3 linked regions of the Caenorhabditis elegans genome follow. The protein of the gene in region 1 interacts with the protein of each later gene in a pairwise test. Each region holds a gene or a part of one and is shown on either strand. Other genes may lie near its edges.

Evidence for each region. Proteins that work in one complex are often made in the same cells at the same time.
Region 2: the proteins of flh-2 (region 1) and lin-48 interact in a two-hybrid assay, tested with the Caenorhabditis elegans proteins (one large-scale study listed by BioGRID).
Region 3: the proteins of flh-2 (region 1) and hda-11 interact in a two-hybrid assay, tested with the Caenorhabditis elegans proteins (one large-scale study listed by BioGRID).

The regions. Positions count from the first base shown.
Region 1 is NC_003281.10:4,950,561-4,955,711, reverse strand, and holds flh-2 (FLYWCH transcription factor 2), read right to left. Parts: upstream 3,589-5,151; 5' UTR 3,580-3,588; coding exon 3,346-3,579; intron 3,220-3,345; coding exon 2,758-3,219; intron 2,304-2,757; coding exon 2,028-2,303; intron 1,852-2,027; coding exon 1,624-1,851; intron 1,540-1,623; coding exon 1,438-1,539; intron 1,192-1,437; coding exon 1,081-1,191; 3' UTR 541-1,080; downstream 1-540. UniProt on the Caenorhabditis elegans protein: Probable transcription factor. May bind to the promoters of target genes, including micro-RNA genes, in order to repress expression, and acting redundantly with flh-1 and flh-3.
Region 2 is NC_003281.10:3,743,843-3,748,119, reverse strand, and holds lin-48 (Transcription factor ovo-like homolog lin-48), read right to left. Parts: upstream 2,683-4,277; 5' UTR 2,660-2,682; coding exon 2,588-2,659; intron 2,540-2,587; coding exon 2,459-2,539; intron 2,282-2,458; coding exon 2,198-2,281; intron 2,148-2,197; coding exon 1,832-2,147; intron 1,440-1,831; coding exon 1,315-1,439; intron 993-1,314; coding exon 828-992; 3' UTR 548-827; downstream 1-547. Other genes in the region: arcp-1 (ANK_REP_REGION domain-containing protein), read left to right, coding at 427-522. UniProt on the Caenorhabditis elegans protein: Transcription factor. Involved in development of the hindgut, the male tail, and the excretory duct cell. Involved in modulating function of excretory duct cells. Plays a role in left/right patterning of cell fates in the hindgut.
Region 3 is NC_003283.11:10,524,521-10,528,991, forward strand, and holds hda-11 (Histone deacetylase 11), read left to right. Parts: upstream 1-1,663; 5' UTR 1,664-1,789; coding exon 1,790-1,800; intron 1,801-1,868; coding exon 1,869-2,093; intron 2,094-2,290; coding exon 2,291-2,401; intron 2,402-2,447; coding exon 2,448-2,539; intron 2,540-2,605; coding exon 2,606-2,718; intron 2,719-3,274; coding exon 3,275-3,429; intron 3,430-3,477; coding exon 3,478-3,616; intron 3,617-3,717; coding exon 3,718-3,876; 3' UTR 3,877-3,924; downstream 3,925-4,471. Other genes in the region: xpo-7 (Exportin-7), read right to left, coding at 1-224, 275-1,102, 1,152-1,289, 1,336-1,350; F25D1.3 (Interleukin-17), read left to right, coding at 4,244-4,375.

The DNA.
Region 1 (5,151 bases):
TTTTCTATTGTTTAAGATAAAAAACGTTTCAATTTGTTTCCTAGCAACGTTTTTGATGTAATCGTCAATGTAACAGCCACAATTGTATGAGCGTCATGTTCTTTCTACATATTTTTGATAATGTATAATTGGAGTCTAGACCGACCCTTACTACAGGGTGGCCCATAATTATGCGGACCGCCAGTCTGAAAAGTTAACAATTGAACATCCGTGTTCCGAGTTTATCGACAAGCTGTAAGAATAGTTTTCAAAATTAAAAAAACACTAATTTTGTCATATAAAACACAAACACTCACTTTTACTAGAGGAGCAACATCTATTAATTCGGCTCTTGAAGATTCTAACTCGACAAAAATGTCACGAAATTTGATGAGTATTTGTTGGAGCATGTTGGAGCTCTTTTGTGATATTTTTTGATGAATTCGGAACTTGATGACAAAATTGGTTATTTCTCATCTCTTTGCTACGATTAGGTACTCAATTTTTCATGGACTTAGACATACTAATGCTAGAACACAATGGTGACATTATAGCAACATTTTTTACTTATTCATGTTCAATTGTCCACTTTATATATATTTTTATTTCATAGAAACAATTTATTGATGTAAGTGATCAGGGGATAATTGTTAGTTGAACGATATCATTTTATCAAAAGAAAAGGAGCATATAAAGGGGGTTTTTTCCTGAGTTGGAGAGGGTGGTTTCCGTAATTTTATAAGGGGGAAAGAGCACAATAAAAGGGAGACATAGAGATTGGAATTGACAAGGAATATGAAAATTTGCGAACTTTTCTGAAAAGTTCACAATGAGATCCGGAAATGGGGGACCTGACGACGAGCTTTTTTGTTGAGAAACAGACAAGATTATAGAGACAAGATAAGGGAGAGGTATTGAGAGGGGAAAATGGCTGGAATAAATTTAAAAAAAAATTTACAATTTGTAATTATATGATTGCTCCGGGAGCTCGATATTATAGGTTCATGACAACTAATAAAATGTAGCGTGCAGCGAAACGTTGCAGTCGGTCAAGTTATAATTTCATGACTCCAAACTATCGATTAATTGAATAATGATCACTTAGACATGGTTTAAAGGCTCGCCGAAAGCGTCGACGGGCGTTAGACGCCAGAGAGCCGGTGCATCAGTGTTGACGAGAAATAGTTTTCCGTGTGTCCAATTGCTGATTAGCTGAAAGGTTCAGAAATGCTTAGAAAAAAATGACTTGATTTAGATTTTTTGTAGGATAAATTTGACAAACTGCCAAACTTTCGAAAAAATCTTCGAGCTTTCCCACAGGTCTTCGAGCTTCCCCTACAACAAATACAAATAATCAATGCTAAATTTCGAAAAGTGGAAGAGTTTTCTCATATTCACCGCCACGTAGCAAAACTCTACCAGGGCTCATGTCTAGTCTTAGAAAATTGATTCGCTTACCGCTTCATGTACAAGCACATTAACCCTCTGTGAGTAACACAGAGCAAGTTTTCCTTCGCAACGTTTGCCAGTGAATCCTTCTAACGCAGTGATTAGGGATTTCTGAAAATTATAAATTTTTAGGAAATAATTGTTGATTGTTTTCTGCTTTCAGTCTTTCGGGCTTCCAGAAATTATATTACTTACCTCATCACGATTCATGACAACCACCGGAAAGAAGACATTCTCTTCTGCTCCATTATCATGTGATAAGAACAAAAGAATTGACCCTTCATCTCCTTGCCATCGAACTCCAATTTCAGTTTTTGGCTTCATCATTTCCATGAGCTTTTTGGTCAATTCGTAAGTGATACGGAATTCTTCTTGTGACATCAATTGAGATGAATCTTCTTCTTCTTTAGGAGTTGTGCGTTGCTGAAAATATTAAGAAATTCCAAAGTTGTTCGAAATTTTCGAATTTGGCCCTGAATTTTAGAAATTCGTATCATTTTTTTTAGTTCATTTCCGTTTTTCTGGCTCAAACCTATAGTTTTGAAAAGTTCCAACCTTATGATGTTTGAACAAAGCATAATTATTCAAGAAAAACAAACCGATTTCAAAGTGATAGGCATCACAGTCGTTGATACTCTTTTCTGTCCAACAACCGGCGGACTTATTCCAGCAGAAGTTGCAGCTGCAGCCGCAGTTGCTGCTGCATTGATTGAGGCGAGAAGCATTAAATTATTGTTTTGTTGAAAGTTTTGAATTGTTTGATTTGTCGTGTCAACTTCCATTGGTTCAGCTTTAATTTGTTGTGGAGCAATTGGTAGAGCTTGTGATACATGTGAGGCACGGCTCAGTTTTCGTTGCATGTAGGATCGGTTGATCTAAAAGATTTCAATTTAAAAAAGATTGGGAAATTTTGGAATTCTTAAATCAAAAAACATGAAATTAGCAGTTACACATAATCCGAATGTTTTATTAACAATAAGTGTTGTGCCTACCTGCCTGCCTACAGGATCTACCGAAAACTAAAAAAAAACTTTTTTATTTTGGCTGGTTTCCCTGTAACCCCCCGCGATGAAAATCCACGCCCACTGCGTCTTTAAACTCCGCCCACTCCGTCTGATTGGTTGGAAAATGAGCGGAGCGAATCGCTGATTGGTCTAACATTTATCATTTTAGAGGAAGTTCAAGCAGGGCGATTAGTAAAAATCGAAATACATATAACGTTTCGGCGTACATACATTTTCGTTCTTTCTCGACTTTTTATTTCTAACTATTTTGAATATTTCAAGTTTTGAATATTCACCATAAATCTTTTAGCTCAAAAAAACTCACACTTTTCACTGGATGACAATAATTTGGATGGAGAGTAGAGAAATCTTGCTCATAAAATGCAAGTTCTTCGGGCGACGGTTTCTCATGATTATGTGGATGTAACTTTCTCACAATTTCTCGTGTATTGATATCTGAATGCATTCTTGCATTACAATCATTCTTTCGTTCACATCTCCAAAATTCTTTAGTTCCACAACACGATTTCTTATCAAATGACATGATATATCCATCTGCATACACTTTTTCTCGCACATTTCTCGGTTTATATTCGGGTTCTGTGGACGATGATGACGTGGATGTTGCGTTTGATTGTCCACTGTTAGATACTGCAGTTGCAGTTGAAGACGGTGATGAGCTGGCAGATGGACGTGTATCTTCAGATATTAACTGAGATGTTTGGGATTGTGGATCAAGAAGTAGAGAGAATGCTTTTAGATTTGTAGTGCCAAGGGCTTGAAGAGTCTGAAAAATAACAGATAGACTTACTCGAACATGAATATCTAAAAAGTCTTTCAAGAGAATCAATTTCACATCTATAACTCAATATATTAATCAAGGAGTCAAAACCACAAAGAGCCCATCTCTCACCTGAATAACATTCGTATAGTCAATATCTGCCAAATGTTTTTGCGAATTGGTTCCATTCACCGCTGCCTGCACAATCGTTGGTTGTTGTAACAGTAATCCGGCGACTATTTGCTTCTGTGCCAACATCGCCAGTTCATTATTATTATTTCTGTTTGGTGTCGTCGACGGTAGTGGAAAGATCGGAGGAACCGCTGTGACACCATCTGTATTTGTGTTCATCATGGTGTCCACCATACAGGCGGTCTGAAAAGAGGAAAATTAATGGAAAATACGATGAATTCAAAACTATCTACACGGTATGTCTCAATTGTTTTAGAACATTTGAATAACAAATCCAAGAGATGCAAGAAGCGTACTAATAGAGGAATTAAGTGACAATTGCGATTAAGGTGAACAAAAAACAAAAGTAAAGGGAATATTAATATTTAGGTGCAATAGAAGAAAAGGAAGTGGTACCATCGGAGAATTGAAAAAATATGATAGGGTTATTCCAAAATTGTGAGATCATGAGTTTTCTCTGGTTTGGATTGGGATCTACAAAACTATTTTACTAGAACTTGTATTTTTTTTAATCAGAGAGCAAACAAGGACATTCCAATTCACCTCTAATTGTAGTGCTTTCAATCTTTCTAAACCTCCTCAACATATGATAAAAAGTTATTTAGTTGAAAATATTTTGCTAGATTGCTTTTTTTCAAAAAGTTCAAAATTCGTAGACTTCTTAAAAATATTTAGATAATGTTCCGATGTTTTCCAAAATTCCAATGAATAGTTTAAGATTGCCCTCTTCGAGTTGTTGTAAACATAAAAAATGGAAGAGAGTGTGCTCTTTTGACAGAGACTGCACTAGTAGTAAACGATGCAGTGAGGGGGAACAAAATGGTCGCGCCAGGCGCCAGCTGGTCGCAGCAGGGGTCCGTCCGCCGGTTTGGAGCCTCTCCCCTCTCCCGGTTTCCATTGGCTCCACATCAGTAGAATCCACTAAATATATGCGGAATGGCGTCGGGAAGCGGCCGCGGCGGAGGAGAGAGGGAGGAGGACGCGGCGACGGACGATTTATTGGCGCCATGCTGTGTTGGTTTAACTCAGTTATTCATCACTTTTGAAAGATACAAATTTAATGAAAAAGTGACAGAGATAATGAAAGAACCCTAGAATTAGATGGTAGATTGGTCAAAAAAGTAAAAACGCAGTCGGAGGCGGCCTATACCTAGCGGGAATTTCGTCTAATGACGCGAATTTTAAGAAATCAAGACAATCTGAAAAAAAACGAACTAAGCCTAAGCCTAGGCCTCATCATGAGCCTGAGCCTGAGCCTGAGCCTGAGCCTGAGCCTGAGCCTGAGCCTAATCCTAAGAGCAATCATAAGCCCAGGCCGGTCTGCAGACCCTTAAACTTGCGAAAGTATTGTACAAGACTTGCGGTTTTTCTTGTTAATTTCATAAACTTATGATTATCTGTAAAGTTAGCTTAACATGAATAATATGTAAAGTCCTGACCGGAAAAAACAATTAAATATTCAATTATTACAATGTGGTTAGATACTAACGAAAACAATCATTTTTTAAGCTTACAAAAAACTATATGAATAACAATATAATTAAATTTTTAGAAAATATAAATATTAAACCAAAAAATACCAACTTGGAATGCCCTTTTCGTGAGCTCAATGACTCCGTTGAAGCGGAGCCAAAAAGCAGAAGGGACCTGACTCCCAGAGCCCACGAGAAGCGCCAGGAGAAGCGCGCGCCGAAAAAAGATGGATAGAGAGAAAAAGAGAAAAAGAATGAAAAAAAGAGAGAAGCA
Region 2 (4,277 bases), 1.2 Mb from region 1:
TCCTCACGGATCAGCCATTAGGTGTTCAGCATAACCGGCCGACGTCGGGCGCTTCTATTTTTATGGCCGCCAGTAAATTTTAAGTCAGCACTCATGTACAGCAGCCGACTCTTCATGGGTTAGGGCTAGGATTTGAAGCAGGGAGATGTCGGCCGCTTTCTTTTTTATTGACAGCAAAATTTCAAAACATCTTAGTATAACTGCCGGCACCTCACTAGCGGGAAATAAGGATTAGGGTTATAACAAAACCATGAGATGTCGACTACTCGAGAAACTGACAAATTTTAAGTGCCAACTAGAAAACGTGTTTGGCAGCCGACATCATAAGGCTTTAGTAAAGCGGCCGACACTTCGCGCGCACGCTTCAGAGATTATGCTGAACCCGTTAAATGTCCGCTGCAATTTTAAGCATTTATTTTTTTTCAGGTTCTACTTCGCCGTCCTGCCGACCCTATTGGATTTATTGCCGAGTGGCTCTCAAAATACGTCGTAGAAATTCCACGTCACAATGGAAGTCATTGATTTCAACACATTTTTTAAGAATAAAAAAAGGAGAAACTTTTTTATTTCAATAAAATGTGTCATTTTTTGGGAAAATTTGTTGTCATTGGTATAAGTTAAATACATCATGGAATCATCTAGAAGACAGAAATGGGTGAAAAGGGTCTTGGACGGAGAGAAAATAGTGTCATTGGGGTTAATAAATCAGTCACGGGGGTGCAAAAAGGATCACCAACAAATGGGGAAATGACGATGATTTGGAGGATTTTTGGAAAATAGCTAATTTCTAAAAAAAATTAAAAATTAAATAGGAAAAAAGGTGAGTATTATAGGGAGATCTTGGAAAGTTGTTCGGGTTTCATCGATGAGTTCTTTTTCTGAAGCTGTGTAAACCGAAGGTAGGCGGCCGAGAAGGGGTGTACTACCTTGATGTGAGATAGATAGACTTCGAACTTTTCGTCCGTATAACCACAATCTTCACAGACGAATACCTGGAAATGTAGAAGTTATTGTCGGTCGGTGTGTGCCTAGATGCCTAGATGCCTAGATGCCTACATGCCTACATGCCTACATGCCTACATGCCTACATGCCTACATGCCTACATGCCTACATGCCTACATGCCTACATGCCTACATGCCTACATGCCTACATGCCTACGTACCTTCATGCCTACATGCCTACATGTCTACATGCCTACATGTCTACATGCCTACATGCCTATTTTCTATTTCTATTTTGTCTATTGTTTGAGTCTACTTTGAGAGTAGGCACGCAGGCGTAGGCAGACATGCATACCTTTCTGTCAACTCACCTTACTACGACGCTCTTTGTAGGCATATTGATGAGTGACACCGTGAACTTTCCGTAAATGGGATTCCAAGGAGCATCGTTGAGTGAACGACTTCTCGCATTGCTCACATTTGTAGGGACGGACGCCTGGAATACAGAAGGTCATAGGTAGATAGGCACGCCTGCCTTTGTCTGCTTATTTTTGAATTTATTATTAAACAATTTTCTATTCAAATAACTTTTTAGAAATACATTAAAATGAGCAGAACGTGTTGTCGGTTTCAATTTTAATGTGGTCCCCTTGATTTTCCACCGTAAATCAAGTTAGAATCGTCGACAATTTGCGGTGAAAATGTGTGGAATATTACGCTTCGCTACAATGGATTCAATGACACCCCACAAAAAAGCAGTGTGCTAGACAAACAGACGCAGACAATTGTCTTCCAACCGTAAGTCAACGGAGGGTAAGAAGAACGACAAATTAGTGGTTATGAATTGGTGGCAGAGGTAGAGGAGTACTTTAAAGTGTTGAGAGGTACCTGTATGTGTTCTGGTATGCCTTTTTAAGTCGAATGTATCGTTGAAACCCTTTCCACAAAATGTGCATAGATACCGTTTCAGGTCACTATGACACTTTATGTGACGGTTCAGAAGACGTTGTAAACCGAACTTTTTGCCGCAAATGTGACAGGTTAATGAATCTTGGAACTCGTCTTTGCTGGAGGAGATGAGGGATGAAGGAGATACTGTTGAACACGGAATTGAGGTGGTTTCGAAGGAGCTGATCAACGGAGCCAGGGGGTTTTTGACTCCGTAGCCTCCGTTTACAAACTCCACTGCTGGATTTATAATTGGCTGAAAATCAGAAAAAAAAAATTTAGAATTTTCCTTGATTAGCGTCTTACACTGGGTATGGCTGCCTTGGGTGATGGCGAAAGAATCGATGCTGGTGGTGAAGGATCATCATCGAGAAATCGTTCAATGAGAAACTGAAAATGTTCCTTTCATCGTAGATAAGTATTGTGCCTGCCAATGTGTCTATCTAGGCTACGCGGTTCAAAACGAAAAAGATAATTTCAGGCGGTTTCAGAACAAAAAATATTAGATAAAAATTTCAAGATGGCCGAGATTTCTAATTTTCTAGGCCACCAACTTTCCATTCCTACCTTTTTCGAATTCTTCTCTTCGGGTTTGCTGCTATTGGTGCTACTTCTCGAAATTGATGTATTATTATTATTTGCAATCATCTGAATTCACACTTTCAAGTTTTTTTTTTGAAATCAAGACTCAAATACCTGAGTAATAACACTAATGTCTCGAGGCAGCAAATGCGCTCCAATCAGCGGCAGCCATACCCGTGAATCCATCTGAAATTGAGCAGAGCTGAAAATTTTTGTGATGATTTTGTGGAATTTTTTCCAAACAAGGAACAACAAGCGGAAGCGTCCGAGTCGGGGCGGGGTGTGTTATCACCGAAGAAATCCAATCCGGCAATTATTTCAAATACTCGGCGCCAGATAATAATAGGTACAATGTCTCGGATGTCGGGAATAATTGGAATATGGAGGTGTTGGCTCCGAGAGCACAAAATCACGGTAGGGAGAGGATAATCATGAAACCGAAAGTGAAATTTAGGATTTTTCTGGGATGGTTTAGGGGAGAGGTACACAAAACTATTGAGCGTTCCCACAAGCCGAAGCCTAGGCTTAAGCCAAAGCTTATGCCTAAGCTGAAGCCTACGCTGGAAGACTGAGCCTAAAGCAAAGCCTGAGCCTAAGCCCTAGCTTGAGCCTAATCTTAAGCCTAAGCTTAAGTCTAAGCCTAGACCTAAACCACAAAAAAAAGTTGGGTAATTTTCACGAAACTCTCCCAAAACCATTTTTAGTTCAACAATAAAAAAAATCCGAAAAAAATATTTTGTATTTTTTTAAATATTTTTTTGTGTTTTTTGTGCATATAGTTTTGAAAAAGTTGCATTTATAACAGGAAATTTCAGTAAGACAGAAAAATCTTCAGTTTTTGGCTGGAAAACTGAAATATCTGAGAGAAAAATTACCTAATCGAATTGTTTCAAAATTTGAGCTAGAAACATAGATAAATATTTGGTTCACTTGAAAAACTATTTTTATTTTTGTTGAAAATTTTTAAAAATCCCCCAAAATAATTTCTGCAAATTGCCAGAAAATATAAAAATGATGCAAGAAGGGACATGAAACTTCTTCTTACATGTAGATATATTAATATAATTGTAAGGATATATGACACAAGTATATTAGGCAACTAGTAGACGGTTACAGTTCCCCCTTCTTCCCTTTTGTGTGTTGGTGAAACGGATGAGCACTTGGCGCACTTGAGAAGCGGTTTCTAGAGAGAAGAAGAAGAAGCATCAATTGGAAAGAGAGGAACAACAAAACAATTGTGTATGGCACCAGAAGAAGAAACAGTTGCCCAATGCCAAGATGGGGGAACGTTTAGCAACGGATGAGCTTGTGGCGATTAGAAGGCAGGTTGGCCGTGACTACAAGAGGATTACGGTAGGCAGACATGAAGACCGTTTTGAAAAAGGAAGAGAGGGGGATTATTGCGTAATCGTTCAGGGAAGGGGTTTCGAAGTTTTCTTCTTTTTCTGCTTTTTTTTTGAGAACGAACTTTCAAAAAAAAAAACTGAAAAAAAAAGAAAACAAGTTCCAAAGGCGCGTTTTCCTGTCTACATGCCTACATGCCTACAAGCCGCCGCCTAGCGCCTTCTTCTTGTTGGAATGAACTTTGGCATTATGTATCTGAGCAGGCAAGGTAGGCAATAGGCACGTATTCAGGCACAAGGCAGGCGAAGGTTGTCTTAGATGCAGGCAGGTATTACTGTGCCGAAGTGGTTTTTTCTTGGAATTTAGATGATACTCTGAAACTTTCGATGAACTCAAAAATGTGGCTATCATATTTTTGCGAGAAAAACTAAATTAAGTTACAGTAAATCTTAAAATTCTT
Region 3 (4,471 bases), on another chromosome or scaffold:
TCATCATTATTTCGAACATATGGAACAGACGTCACCATTCTCTGCCAGAATGTCATAAGAAAATATGTACTGTTGGCTGAGAACTCCATCATTCGTAGGCTTTGTACAGTGAATTCCGCGAGTAACCTTAGCATGTGACTGTAGCAGGGAACAGCGATGAGCTCGCACAGCTGATAATTTGTTTTCAGACGAGCAATCAAACGGCAAAACTCGTGGAATGCGGCCTAAATCAGGTATATAAATATGTTTGCCTTTAATTTTTCATTATTCTTACCTGGTCACTAAGCTTCCCAGGGTTCATAATTACACTGACAACTCCTTCAACAAGTTTTTGAACGTAAGCCTGTCGCTCTGTTCCATTGAAAAGCGTTCTTCGAATACTTGCCAATTGAGCTATTATTGTCATCACTTTTTCACTTGATTCTTGTGGAAGCACATTTAAAAGTTTGAACATAAGCTGTACAATTTTTCCATCAGTAAAACTTGCTCTCCATGCTGTTGGGATTTGCACATTACAGTTGTCTTCACTTGTTTCGTCTGTCAAACTTCCTATATAATCAAAAAGTAGACATTGGAGATTCAAGTTGAGAACCGCGTGAAGAAGACCCAATTGGCGATCGTTCAGATTTCTGTCCACATTATCGTTCAAAACATTCAGAGATACCGAGAAAATCTCATATAAAAAATCGTCCCTGAACTGCGAAAGATTCTTGCGATGTTTGTTAACTGAATCCATTCCCGAAGCTGAATTCATGTCAGCAACGAGTAAGGTTAACAGTTGCACGGCCAGCATACTTTCCTCGATATTATCCATGTTGATTGTTTTGACAAGGCTATCAACCGGATCACGAAATGGATATTCAATTTTTGTGTCTTCTGTTTGATTTTCTGTGGGATTTTGATACGTCCATTCTTGTTTCGTGAGTCTTGCAAAAAGTTGGCAAAGTGATGTGACGAGATATGGAGGAAATTGAGGTGCACCTTGACCTAGCATTTCCAATAAATATTTTGCAAGCTCGAGCTTCTGAACAGAAGTGATGCTAGTTTTTCCGCCGAGAAGTTTCATTAGTGTGGTGCTTGCTACCATTGGTCCGTATGGGTACTGAAAATCATTATGTAAATTGTTTAACACTTTTATTATTTCGACTTACATCTCCTCGTGCAAAGAGAAGCATGCATCTTTGAAGGCATTCGGGTGACTCTGACAGTTCCGCAAGGTTACTCTCGGCTCGGTGTCGGGCTTGCGGATCGACACTCTCATATAGATCTTTGCATAGACTGTTTAGTACCTAAAATAAGATTAGAATGCACATTAAGAATTTTGAAAATGCTAACCGGTAATTCATCCATTTTTGAAGACTTCGAATCCGCTGTTCAGCGATTCACTCCTAAAATATCCAATTCAGAAGTAATTATAGCTTGAGAAAGAGGAGAAAAATGTTTTGAAAAGCAAAAAGAATGTTTAAAACGGATAAAATTAATTCGGCGTCTTCCCACCGTTAATTGTTTCGAAAAACTGCAAACTTTGGTGATGATTTGAGTTTCTGAAAGACGAAACATCTTGTCCTGGTGAAGTACACGGCGGATGGCCGATAAAAAAGTTAGGCCATCCTTTCTCATCCTACTCTACATCCCACAGGCTCTCTCGCCACAATTGGCATCTTTTGGCAGTTTCCACTATTTTCAGAATTCGTTATCTGTTTTCTGATAACAAAAACAAGAAAAACAGAATCTTTACGACTACTTCTTTATTTATCCGCTCTAACCACTCATTCTACGCAGATTTTGAATGGCAGAGCGGTGAGTTTTGAAATTTAATCTGTAGTACAACATGCAGTTGGAAATGCCAAAAATATCAATAATTTCAGAGATAAAGATGAAATCTTTAGTTTAAAAAGTTATCAACGTCCAATTGTCTATCATTCTGAATATAATGTAACTGCATTTGGAATCGAACATTTACATCCATTTGATTCTTCGAAATGGAGAAGAGTCATTACACATTTGAAAGAAATGAATCTGATCACTGATGAAACACTCGTTGAGCCAAATCTACCGACATTTGAAGAACTCACTAGAGTACATGATAGAAAGTAGGCACATGAAAGTGTTGTGAATGTGATTGAATCGTGGAATTGGTTTATGAAAAAATCATGTTTGTATGGCCCCATACTTAAATTGAAAGAAAATAATTAAGCTCATAACGTTTATAGTTGACATTCTAAAAAAAAGTTAGATGAGGCGTTCAACAATTTCAACTAATAAAAAAAATTTATTCATATTATTTTAGATATCTGAAAAGTGTTCGAAATCCTATTAAAGCAGCACAAATCGTCGAGATTCCATTTGTCGGTTGCCTTCCACCGTGCATTATTGAAAGCAAGTTATTGCATCCACTACGGTATCATTCCTAGTAATTGTTGTATTCATTTATTTGTGTTTTCCAGTTTACAAGCCGGTGGAACAGTTTTAGCTGCCAATTTGGCTCTAAAACATGGTTGGGCGATCAACGTGGGTGGTGGTTTCCATCATGCTTCTCGTATGTTTTTGTTATTCCGCAAGAAAAATAGACGCTATGGGATTGTACAGCAGCCTATAATTTCAGATTCGGGCGGAGGTGGATTCTGTTTTTACGCTGATATCACCATGGCAATTTTCGATTTGTTTGACAAAAAGGCAATTGCCAACGCGATTGTTGTAGATTTAGATGCTCATCAGGTACTGGAAAAAACATTTGAAAGAATATAAAATACCGTATATTTTCTATTGATGCGTGCGGCACCTTCACTGCTCAACTTTGACAGCATATAACTCAAAGGAACACGTGTAGTCAGAAAATCCCATTCCGCTTTGATCTTCGAAAAATGCGGGAGTTGAGACGCAGACATCTCATTTGATTTGGAATGGTTAAGAACGTGCTGACGTCACAATTTTTCTGGGAAAAAGTCCCGCATGTTTTGTAGATCAAACCGCAATGAGACAGTCTGACATCACATGAAGGAAGTATTTTGCCTAAAATCATAGATGGCCGATATCTGAGCTTTCAAAGTTAGAATTGTCCTCAAATTTTAGCTACCTTACAGTTACGTTAAGAATTCTATAGACTACGGTATCATTTTGGAAAACCATTTGGAACGTGAATGAAATATGTCTAGCCCGTAAAGATATTTCTCAAATATTAGATATTAATTCGAAATATTAATCACAATATTAATTGTTTAAAAAAATTATTAAAATTTAAGAATCCAATTTTTTGCTTGAATCATACTTTAAGGGAAATGGCCATGCACGAGACTTTGCTGACAATCCGAATGTGTTTGTATTTGATGTTTTCAATCCATATGTCTATCCACATGATCGTGAAGCTCGTCAATTTATTAACAGAGCGGTTCATGTAAATGGTCATACGACTGATACTTCCTACCTCTCGTAAGTATTCATAGCGGCTTTCTGCTTTCACTGACCGACTTTATTTAGCGAATTACGCAAACAACTGGCACAGTGTTTAATTGATAGAGAGAAAACTACTCCTCCTGGTTTCGATTTCATTATGTTCAACGCTGGCACAGACTGTCTACTTGGTGATCCTCTGGGAGCAATGAAATTGAGTCCACAGGTGTGTGAAAGCAAGGAATATTGTTATACGAGTTTGGTATTTGGTGTATAGTCTATTTTGAAATAAGATGTTGCATATTTTTTTGAAAATCAAATTTTCAGTGCATAATTGCTCGAGACGAAGTTGTGTTCAATCTAGCAAAATCAAAAGGAATTCCAATTTGCATGGTAACCAGTGGAGGGTATCAGAAGGACAACGCGCTTCTCATTGCAAAATCAATTGAAAATCTCCAGTCAAAGAATCTCATCAGTATCAAATAAAAAAGTTATATCAGCATATCTTTTCCTTATAAATTATTTTTTATTAAACTATTTTTTATTGTTTAATGGCAGGGGAAACTAAATAGATAGAAGGATCAAGTTCAAAATTTCATTTTAAAATCGAATGGATGATTTTGAAACATTCTATATCAACCCGATTCCATTAAAAATAAAACAATCCAAAATAATACAAAGTACTCTGAATATGAACTTTTCCTAAAACTTTCAATTTTTATGAATCCTCGACTCCTCCCAAATTTTCACTTTATGTGGATGTCACTAGGTCATCATCGGGTAAAGGGTCACACAGAGAGACACAGTCATTTCTCGCCTATATCTTTTATTTGATTCTTCTGTCGATTGCGACATGATTTGCTTCCGTACAGCTTTCATTTTAATTCTTGGAGTAGTGATAGGCACGACAGCAAAACGACACAATGTTCGAAGGCATGTCAATGGTAAATGGACTGATAAACATTGTGAAGAACCACCTAGTTTGGTTAGTTTTTGTTTTTTTAATTGAGAGTAAATAGTTTCACTAGCATGTTCTGGATATTGTTAGATATTTTTACATAGATTTATTCAATAAGTGTGT